Linked DNA regions of Nothobranchius furzeri. The protein of the gene in region 1 interacts with the protein of each later gene in a pairwise test. Links are inferred from orthologs where the notes say so. Each region holds a gene or a part of one and is shown on either strand. Other genes may lie near its edges.

Region 1 (4,280 bases):
TGACAGGGGGCAGAGTAGCAGGAAACTGTTCTGTCTCACTTGAAATTATTCTTTTAATTGGCTAATGTCAACCTAGAATTAAAAAAATGTACCTAGTCTTTTTCATTATGGTTTCAAACAACTATTAAAAAAATACAGTTGCACATGTTGCCTACAACACAGAGCTTCAACCAGAGGGCAGAAGAAATGTACAGGATTCAGGTTTTTGAGGAAAGTACAAATCCTGTTAAAGCTCTTAAAAACAGATTTGTCAAATATTAAACATTTGGTATTAATGGGATGTTACATATATGTCAAAGTGGACTATGTTACACAGTTTCAAACCTCAGCAACAGTATCAAATCAACATAACGGCATTAATTAGGCAGAAATATTTAAAAAAAATGTTTAAAATATTATACAAAATTGAACTGTAACTAAGTATAAAATTGTATGGCAATGTGGAGGTTTATAAAATAATAAATGGTTGACATTTTGGAGTCTTTTTTTTACTTTTTAGTTGCTGAAATAAAGTGATTATAGTTAATCTGGATATAGGTTTTGTTGCAGGTAAGTAGTCTTAAATGTTCTTTAATGAGATGTCCTTTGGAACATACTACGATTGTACTTGCAACAGCCAGTATAAATCCATAAAATATACAAAACATTAACAAGTAACAATCCTGCACAAAATAGCATTCTTGTTATGTGCCTGTTCTCCTCCAACTGCATGTTAAAGTTGTAAAGGTCACCAGATGTGCTCGTTTTATTGCTGCAGTGACTTGGAAACAAGGACTTTCCTTTACCTTAAGGTCCATGGTAAGAAACCGGTGAGTTATGTCGGGTGTGGGTGAAGTGATACGGGGCGGTGGTGAGAGTTGACGATGTTTGATGTAAGGATCCTCAGGCATCGGCTCAGGCTCATTCAGAACTATACCCTCATGTTCCATGAAGTCCTGTTGAGTGAATGAAAAGCCTCAAACCAAAAGACTAGTTGCAGAAGCGGCTCACACACAACACTTGTTTCATAGGGATGATAACAGGAATCAGGAGTGATGTACCTTTGTGAATGTATCACAGTGAGTAAGATGGTACTTGTATCCATACACTTCCAGGTCTATACCAAGGTTGAAGTCTTTCCAGTGGTAATAGTCTCCACGGTCATTCTTTGGCACCCGATGGCGTTTGAGCCGCTTCCCCTGTGATATCCCAGAGTTCATCACTGCGGACTCCCAGATGCACATGCTGTCATCCTCGAGATAGTAATAAATGACCACATGGCGTATACGGTGATCCTCGTCAGGTGAATTCCAGACATCCTCCAAGAAGTATGCAAAGAAACAAAGTACCTAGAATACAAGCAGATGGTTGTCAACAGTAATTTACATTTTATGGATAAATGATCATATCAGATTTTCTAGGTTCAACCTTTTTGTCGAATTTCACATAAGCTGGGATGAAGTCTTCGTATACTGTCTTGTCATCAAAGTGATATGTAAGGTCTGGTTTCTCAAAGGACAGCTCACTGATCTCCTGTTGGGACAGCTGCTCTGATACTAGAGGCTCCTGACCAATGCCAGCGGATGGGCGACGAGGCAAAGCAAAGCCGTTCTTATAGATCAGAGTCTGGGGTAGGTGGAAGGAGGACTTCTGTCGAAACAAATACTTTATTGTGGACTTAAATCACACCAGAAATTATGAAGTCATGTACACGAAACTTCACAATGTAGCATGACGCTTGTAGATGCAAAGTACATAGAATAAAAATATGACACTGGTGTATTTCCATGTAATTTTCTGTAATAAGTTGGTTAGTTTGAGTGATCCAGCACCAAAAGGTGTTATAGGTTTCGATTTACCAATTTTCCAATCACTAGCAGCTGTGAATAATAACTAAACTCTGTGTTCTTTAAAGAGTCACAGGCTCACAACGGCATTGTGACATCATATTGTACCAGCTAACACCATAGGGTATCTCTTAGCCAATGGCGATGACAGATTTAAATTCAAATGCAGTGCAGAATTTTCAGCTGAAGAGAGCACAACACTGATAGTTTTAGGCAGAAAATTAAAAATTTAACTAAAGTGCAAGACTATTGTCTACATGTGTCTGCAGCTCGATTACGCACATTTATATAGTTTATCAGAAAAAAAAGTTGATTTGGGGATGACTTGCTCTTTAAATGAACACTGGTCTAGAAAAGTTGTATTCTTATATAGTGTATAAGGTTTTTCATTCATTGCAAGCCAACTTGCACAAGGATTAATGATCAGTTTTGCTGATGTTGGTTTTACAGAACAGATGGTAAAATCCCCGCAGTTGAGAAAAATCTCATAGTAAAAGAGTATTTTAGCCGTCTTCTGCAAAAATGTGCTGTTACTAGACATTTCACACTAAAGCTTTATATTAACAAATAAGATGAATAAATTACAGATGTGAATAATTTGTGTAACAGTTCTTCTAAATGTTATCAGAACTTTTTTATGGAGCTGAAAGCATTCAACAATGTTTAAATATGTTTATCAATTATGACTAATTAGTAATTTCTTTTTTCCACAAATGCCTGAGGAATTATAGCAATGACATTTCTATTACAGAAATAAAAAGTAAAGGAATAATGAAAAACAGCAAAAGCCTGCAAAATGCTAACTTTAGTGTTTGTTTACCGGTCATTTACATCAAGAATTCTGTTTTGCTAGCTAGCTTTAGCTTCAGGTGTGTCAGTTTACCCTTTCCTCTCTAAACGAGTATCCTGGTAAAAATGGTATCCCATAGTTATTCCAGTTAAAAGCCATTTTCCCGGGAAGCAGTTTTCTAAATTATTGTCTCTAAAACAATTTGAGTCTCCTGAAGAGCTTCTCGAAATACAAAGCCACACGACAACGATTGAGGTTAGTTTGTAGTTTCCATGGAAACGATAAAACAGTAACAATTTCTAAAATTAAATACAGAAAAATAAAACTTCCGTCATAAAAAATGAGACAAATCAAATTTTACGATAAAAATGAACAGGAATAATAAAAAGAAATTAGAAATAAAATGATTTCTTAATTCTTTATATATTTTCTAATTCGTAAATAGCAAAACCCTCATGTGGCCACCAGGGGGCAACATTGCTCATTAAATCCTGCCGACTCTCCCTAACTTGGGTAACAAAGTTTGCTCTTATTTGCGTGACTACCTATCATTTGATTTGATTTGTTTCTGTGCTATGAGAAAAGGATTGTGCAGATAAAGCTGTGAAAATTAAAATTTCCAAGGAAAAACAACAGCAGTTTAAATTTGAACAGTTTATTCCAAGCACAGGAGTCTTACATTGTTATTAGCACATGTGAAATTCCTCCAAGTCTAGACAAGAAGATGGGAAACTTAATGCTTTAAAATGTTCCATTAAGACAATGAAAGCCTTTAAATGAATCTGACTATAGCTTATGTTATTAAACTGGTACTTGCACGTTTCATCTTCAGTGCTGGTTCCTTCTTCAGATGGCAGCAAGCAGTGATCACCATGAGCATCTGTTCAGCACTGACAGCTATGGAATTAGGCCGTGGTTTGTTGGAGCCCTGAAGTTCACACAATCTTTGATCATCAAAGACTAGAAAAAGTAATTTCAAGCAAAACCACATTTACAAATTTGGCATATTCTTGCAATTTTACAGAGTAGATGGCAAGTGCAATATTCAATAGAAACATTGAGGTTTTACACAAGCTCCACCTTTTCCATAGCAAAATGGTTGTATAAATAGAAATAGAAATGTGATTTCAGTTAAAAAAACACTAGTTATGGGTGACAACTATGACTTAATGGCTAAAAAAAGGCACTGCACTGTGAATTTCTGTATCAAAAATAACTATAAATCACTAAAATCCTCTTTGAGGCCTTTTACATCATATTTCAAAATTTCCTTAAATGCTGAAAAACCTATTTAATTGAGCCGATCATGGCTCGATGAGCACATCATCCAAACAGAAATACTAGGATTGCATCCCTGAGGTGCCAGGCAGCCTTTGCCACGTATAAAAATATCTCATAATTAAGCATACTTAAAACAAAGTAAACATAGATAAACTATTAAATATTATAAAATATTTTTCATAAGGGTTGAGATGAATCCCCTGCACACGTGTAGAAAAACTAAAATCTTTTGGTTTTATTAAGCTCAAAATGCAGCATGGTTATTCTCTGTGGAATGATTGTCCTACATCGACCCATTGTCAAGCATGTTTCATTCAAAATGCCCATCTGGTAAAGCACACGCTGAATACTGGAAAGTACTGAGCATAAAGCTCCAAGTGTAG
Region 2 (3,785 bases), on another chromosome or scaffold:
TTATTTGTGACGATTATGGCTGAAAACCCCACATTCACAATCTCAGATAATTAGAAAATTGTGAAAAGGCTCAGTATTCTAGACTCCATGTCAGCTGGATTACTGACATAAATGAGTCTTTGCACCATATTGTCGTTTTTCCAGTTTCACCTCTACATCCCAACCTGGAGCCAGTCATGGAATTTTCTATGTAACGTCCAACACCATGTTTGCTTTGATTTGAATCGAGTGTATGGTATTTTTCAGGTTATTTTCCAGTTGTAGGAGCAGACATACAAAGCGTTATTACAGCGTTATACACAGTATATTTATGTGCACCAAACAGTTGTGTAAAATGTTTTGATTTGAAACTATTGGTGCAGACTGGAAGGAAACCAAGAAAAGGACACCCTCTGCTGTTCAGATGAGTTTAATGTACCCTACACTCTGTGTGGCTTTCTGCTCCAAATGGGAAAGAAGAGAGTTTTTACCATCAGACTTATTAATTAGCTGTGAGTGAGTGTCTAGTTGGTTCATGGCTCTCTTTTGTAAACAAGATGAAGCTGCAGTGTTGCTCAGTTGGTAGCAGTTACAGAACTCTCTGATGTGCTAGTTATCAGATAAAAAACACACGAAAATAAGAGTTTGATTGTTTTATTTGTAAAATATTCACATTTAAAATAGTTGTGACACCATCTGCACAGAGGCTCACAGCGCTGACAAACACACGGTTTATTCAGTGCACATGCATCATGCTGGGTGCAAAGCCCTTTACAATAACCACGGCTCTCTGGTGAAGCTCGACTTTCCGAATCAACCTTCGGGCTTCAAATGGCTAACAAGCTAAACATGAGCTATTACACCAATGCAGCGCAGCAACTCACACCCGCACTCATCAGCACACTCTACCTCTGTCTCTCTCTCACACGCACGCACGCACGCACACACGCACACACACACACACACACACACACACACACACACACACACACACACACACACACAGAGCAGAGTCGCTTTTTGTCATTCTGCTGTAAACAACCACTCTGAACTTTATTTATATGTCACCACTTTGCAGTAAAGACACAAACATTGTTGCTAGTCCACCCCACCTGTTCTCCATCTCCTACCAAACACGTCACAACATCTTAGTTTTACATCTGCAAGAGAATCAGGAGTTCCCTCCTTGCTGATCTACTTTTCCTTCTTGTTCTATTTGACAAAGTGCAGGGCCTCGGCCGCCACCACGGAGCCTTTGCTGCTGTCGAGGCTGGTTACCAACTTGAAGCCGGATTTTAAAGCTAGCATCACCGTTTCTAGTTTCAGACAGTCAAGCGTGCACAAGAAGGTGCTGTCCTCCTTCAGAACGAGCCGCGAGCCAGGCTCCGACTTGATGAAGTGGCGGAACTGGATCACGTTGGACGACACTACGAACTCTTCTGGAAAGCCATCCAGGCGGCTCTTGGAGATCTGCACCAGCCGTGCCTTCACCTTCTCTATGAAGGTGGCGTCGCTGCAGTACACCTTGAGGCCCTGGGACCTGTCGTGGCTATCTGTCACCTCCAAAAACGCGGGCTCTCGCTGCGCGGCTCGTTGGCTTTCCCATTCGATGACTGCTTCAACCAGTTCACTCAACCGGTAAAAGTCAGCTTCCCGCCGCAGAAGCCCCGCCTCCCGAAAGTCATCAGGTAGCTGCAGCTCTCCGGTTCTGAGATAGTTGAGAACATGACGAAAAACTGGGCCATCTCTGTCAATGAAGGGGTTACCCATAGAGTCGGTGTGCTGAACGGGCTTTTTACCATTGGCCAGCTCCTCCAGGAAGGACCCCAGGTGCTTGGAAAGGGTGGTCCGATGGGCGGTGTAAAGGAACCCCCCTACATTTAGGGTGATGGTACCTGAAGAGGGCTTCTTGAAGCTTTTGCTGGGCTGCAGCAGGTCTGGGTTGATGTGCCTCAATTCACTTTCCATCCTTCTGAGGTTCCATTCCATTCTCCAGTCACCCCCTCCAGCCTCAACCCAGCCTCCTCCTTAAAGCTGGCGTCCCTGCTCGTTTGGAATCGGGTCCGTGTTTTGTCTTCCCGGTTGAATGTTGGTCCTGCGGCGCAGCCGGGGGAGCGGAGCGTGTTGTCAGCTGTCGCGCAGTGAGAGGAGAGGAGTTTGAGGGAGTGTGGCGGCTGATGGGTGAGCGCTGTCTGGCAGAGGAGCTCCAGTGAGGTGGGAGCTGCAAACAGACTGGCTCTGTGTGCTGCTCCGTGTCCCTCCTCTCTCCCTCTGTCTCTCTTTAAGAGTGGGTGTGCAAACGGCGTCACACACAGGGAGAAGGATGTGAGCAAATAACAGAAGAGCGTGGATTCTTTCTGCCTTCTTGTCAGCTCTTTATTGTCTTTGGGGGCTTAAAAAAGAACGGCTGAATAAATACCTCTCACGCCAGATGGAGAGGGGGCTTTTATCGTTTTTGTGCTGTGAGGTTGTCAGACTTGTGCAAAGTCTGAATGCGGGACTCCTTTTTCAGCCAAACCCACTTGTTTATCACATTACTCAGTGAACCTGAATCTGTTTGAGTTGGACGCCAGATCAATGTCTCGAGGTTTGGCATTCTTTGGTTGTGAAGGGGAGAAGTGGGCAGCTTCAGCTCTTTTTATGCAAATCTCGTCTTCTCAAACGGTTCTGTTTTTAGTGAGCGCTGCCGTGCCGTGCGTCGACCGTGTGTTTTGTGTCTGAACGTAACAGACCAACTACGGCTGATTGCTGCCCGGTCACGGAGGACAGGCTTTTAATCAGTTATTGTTTACGTACTTACTGCAAACAGGTGTGTGTGTGTGTGTGTGTGTGTGTGTGTGTGTGTGTGTGTGTGTGTGTGTGTGTGTGTGTGTGTGTGTGTGTGTGTGTGTGTGTGTGTGTGTGTGTGTGTGTGTGTGTGTGTGTGTGTGTGTGTGTGTGTGTGTGTGTGTGTGTGTGTGTGTGTGTGTGTGTGTGTGTGTGTGTGTGTGTGTGTGTGTGTGTGTGTGTGTGTGTGTGTGTGTGTGTGTGTGATTTTAGTTTCAGACTGAGACAAGCTAGGGTTAGTCATTTTTTCATAAGTAACTTCTAGCTGCGATCATGACATTAAGCACCAACGACTCGAGCTGCAAGCTACATCCTGCGTTGTGTAAAACTTTCCTTTTTTTCTGTTTTCTTTTACTTCAGAAGATGAAGAGTTGTCTTGAAATTGTCCGACGTTCCTGCCGATGGCCTGCATCTATCTTCAGATTAGTTTCTGACCCAAAAAGCTGTTCTGCTGCAGGAAATGGTTTGTAACCTACTTTAGTCCTGGTTTTTATACCAGGGAGTTGATGTGCATCAATTTATCAGCACTTAAACACAACAGTTTGCCATTGCAAGGGAACTGAGATGTTTGAATACAGACATTAAAAAAACTTTATAAAATATCTGGAAGGATGCTTATGCAAGTATAGTCACAGCATCTCTGTGCATCTACTTGATATAAATGAATCTAGAGTCAAGTTTGTGCTAGGACTGCAGGACGCTTAAAAAGAAGATAATTATGTCCATCTGAATAGTTTTGTGAACAGATGGCAGGAGAAGACTTCAGCTGTTAGTCTGTTGCCTTCCCAAGTCCTAATCCAAACTTAACTAAAGCTCAAACGTGATTTTTTTCTGCACAGATTTAACTAAAGGGATCTTTGTGCAAAATAGCAGCACACATTTTGCTCTTTGTGTATATATTCCTGTAAAGAAAGTAGCTGTATTCATGGTGTTCACTTGCAGAGCACACTAATAAAGCAGCAGGGTGAAAGATTAAACAC

Evidence for each region.
Region 2: the proteins of efhc1 (region 1) and kctd4 interact in binary tests that used the Homo sapiens proteins (3 or more experiments, as listed by UniProt). The two-hybrid records come from large-scale screens. The link is inferred for Nothobranchius furzeri from reciprocal best matches to the Homo sapiens genes EFHC1 and KCTD4.

The regions. Positions count from the first base shown.
Region 1 is NC_091742.1:6,295,546-6,299,825, forward strand, and holds the start of efhc1 (EF-hand domain-containing protein 1), read right to left. Parts: upstream 2,918-4,280; 5' UTR 2,776-2,917; coding exon 2,710-2,775; intron 1,630-2,709; coding exon 1,408-1,629; intron 1,329-1,407; coding exon 1,041-1,328; intron 936-1,040; coding exon 786-935; intron 1-785. UniProt on the Homo sapiens protein: Microtubule inner protein (MIP) part of the dynein-decorated doublet microtubules (DMTs) in cilia axoneme, which is required for motile cilia beating.
Region 2 is NC_091754.1:10,968,273-10,972,057, reverse strand, and holds kctd4 (BTB/POZ domain-containing protein KCTD4), read right to left. Parts: upstream 2,321-3,785; 5' UTR 1,969-2,320; coding exon 1,192-1,968; 3' UTR 618-1,191; downstream 1-617.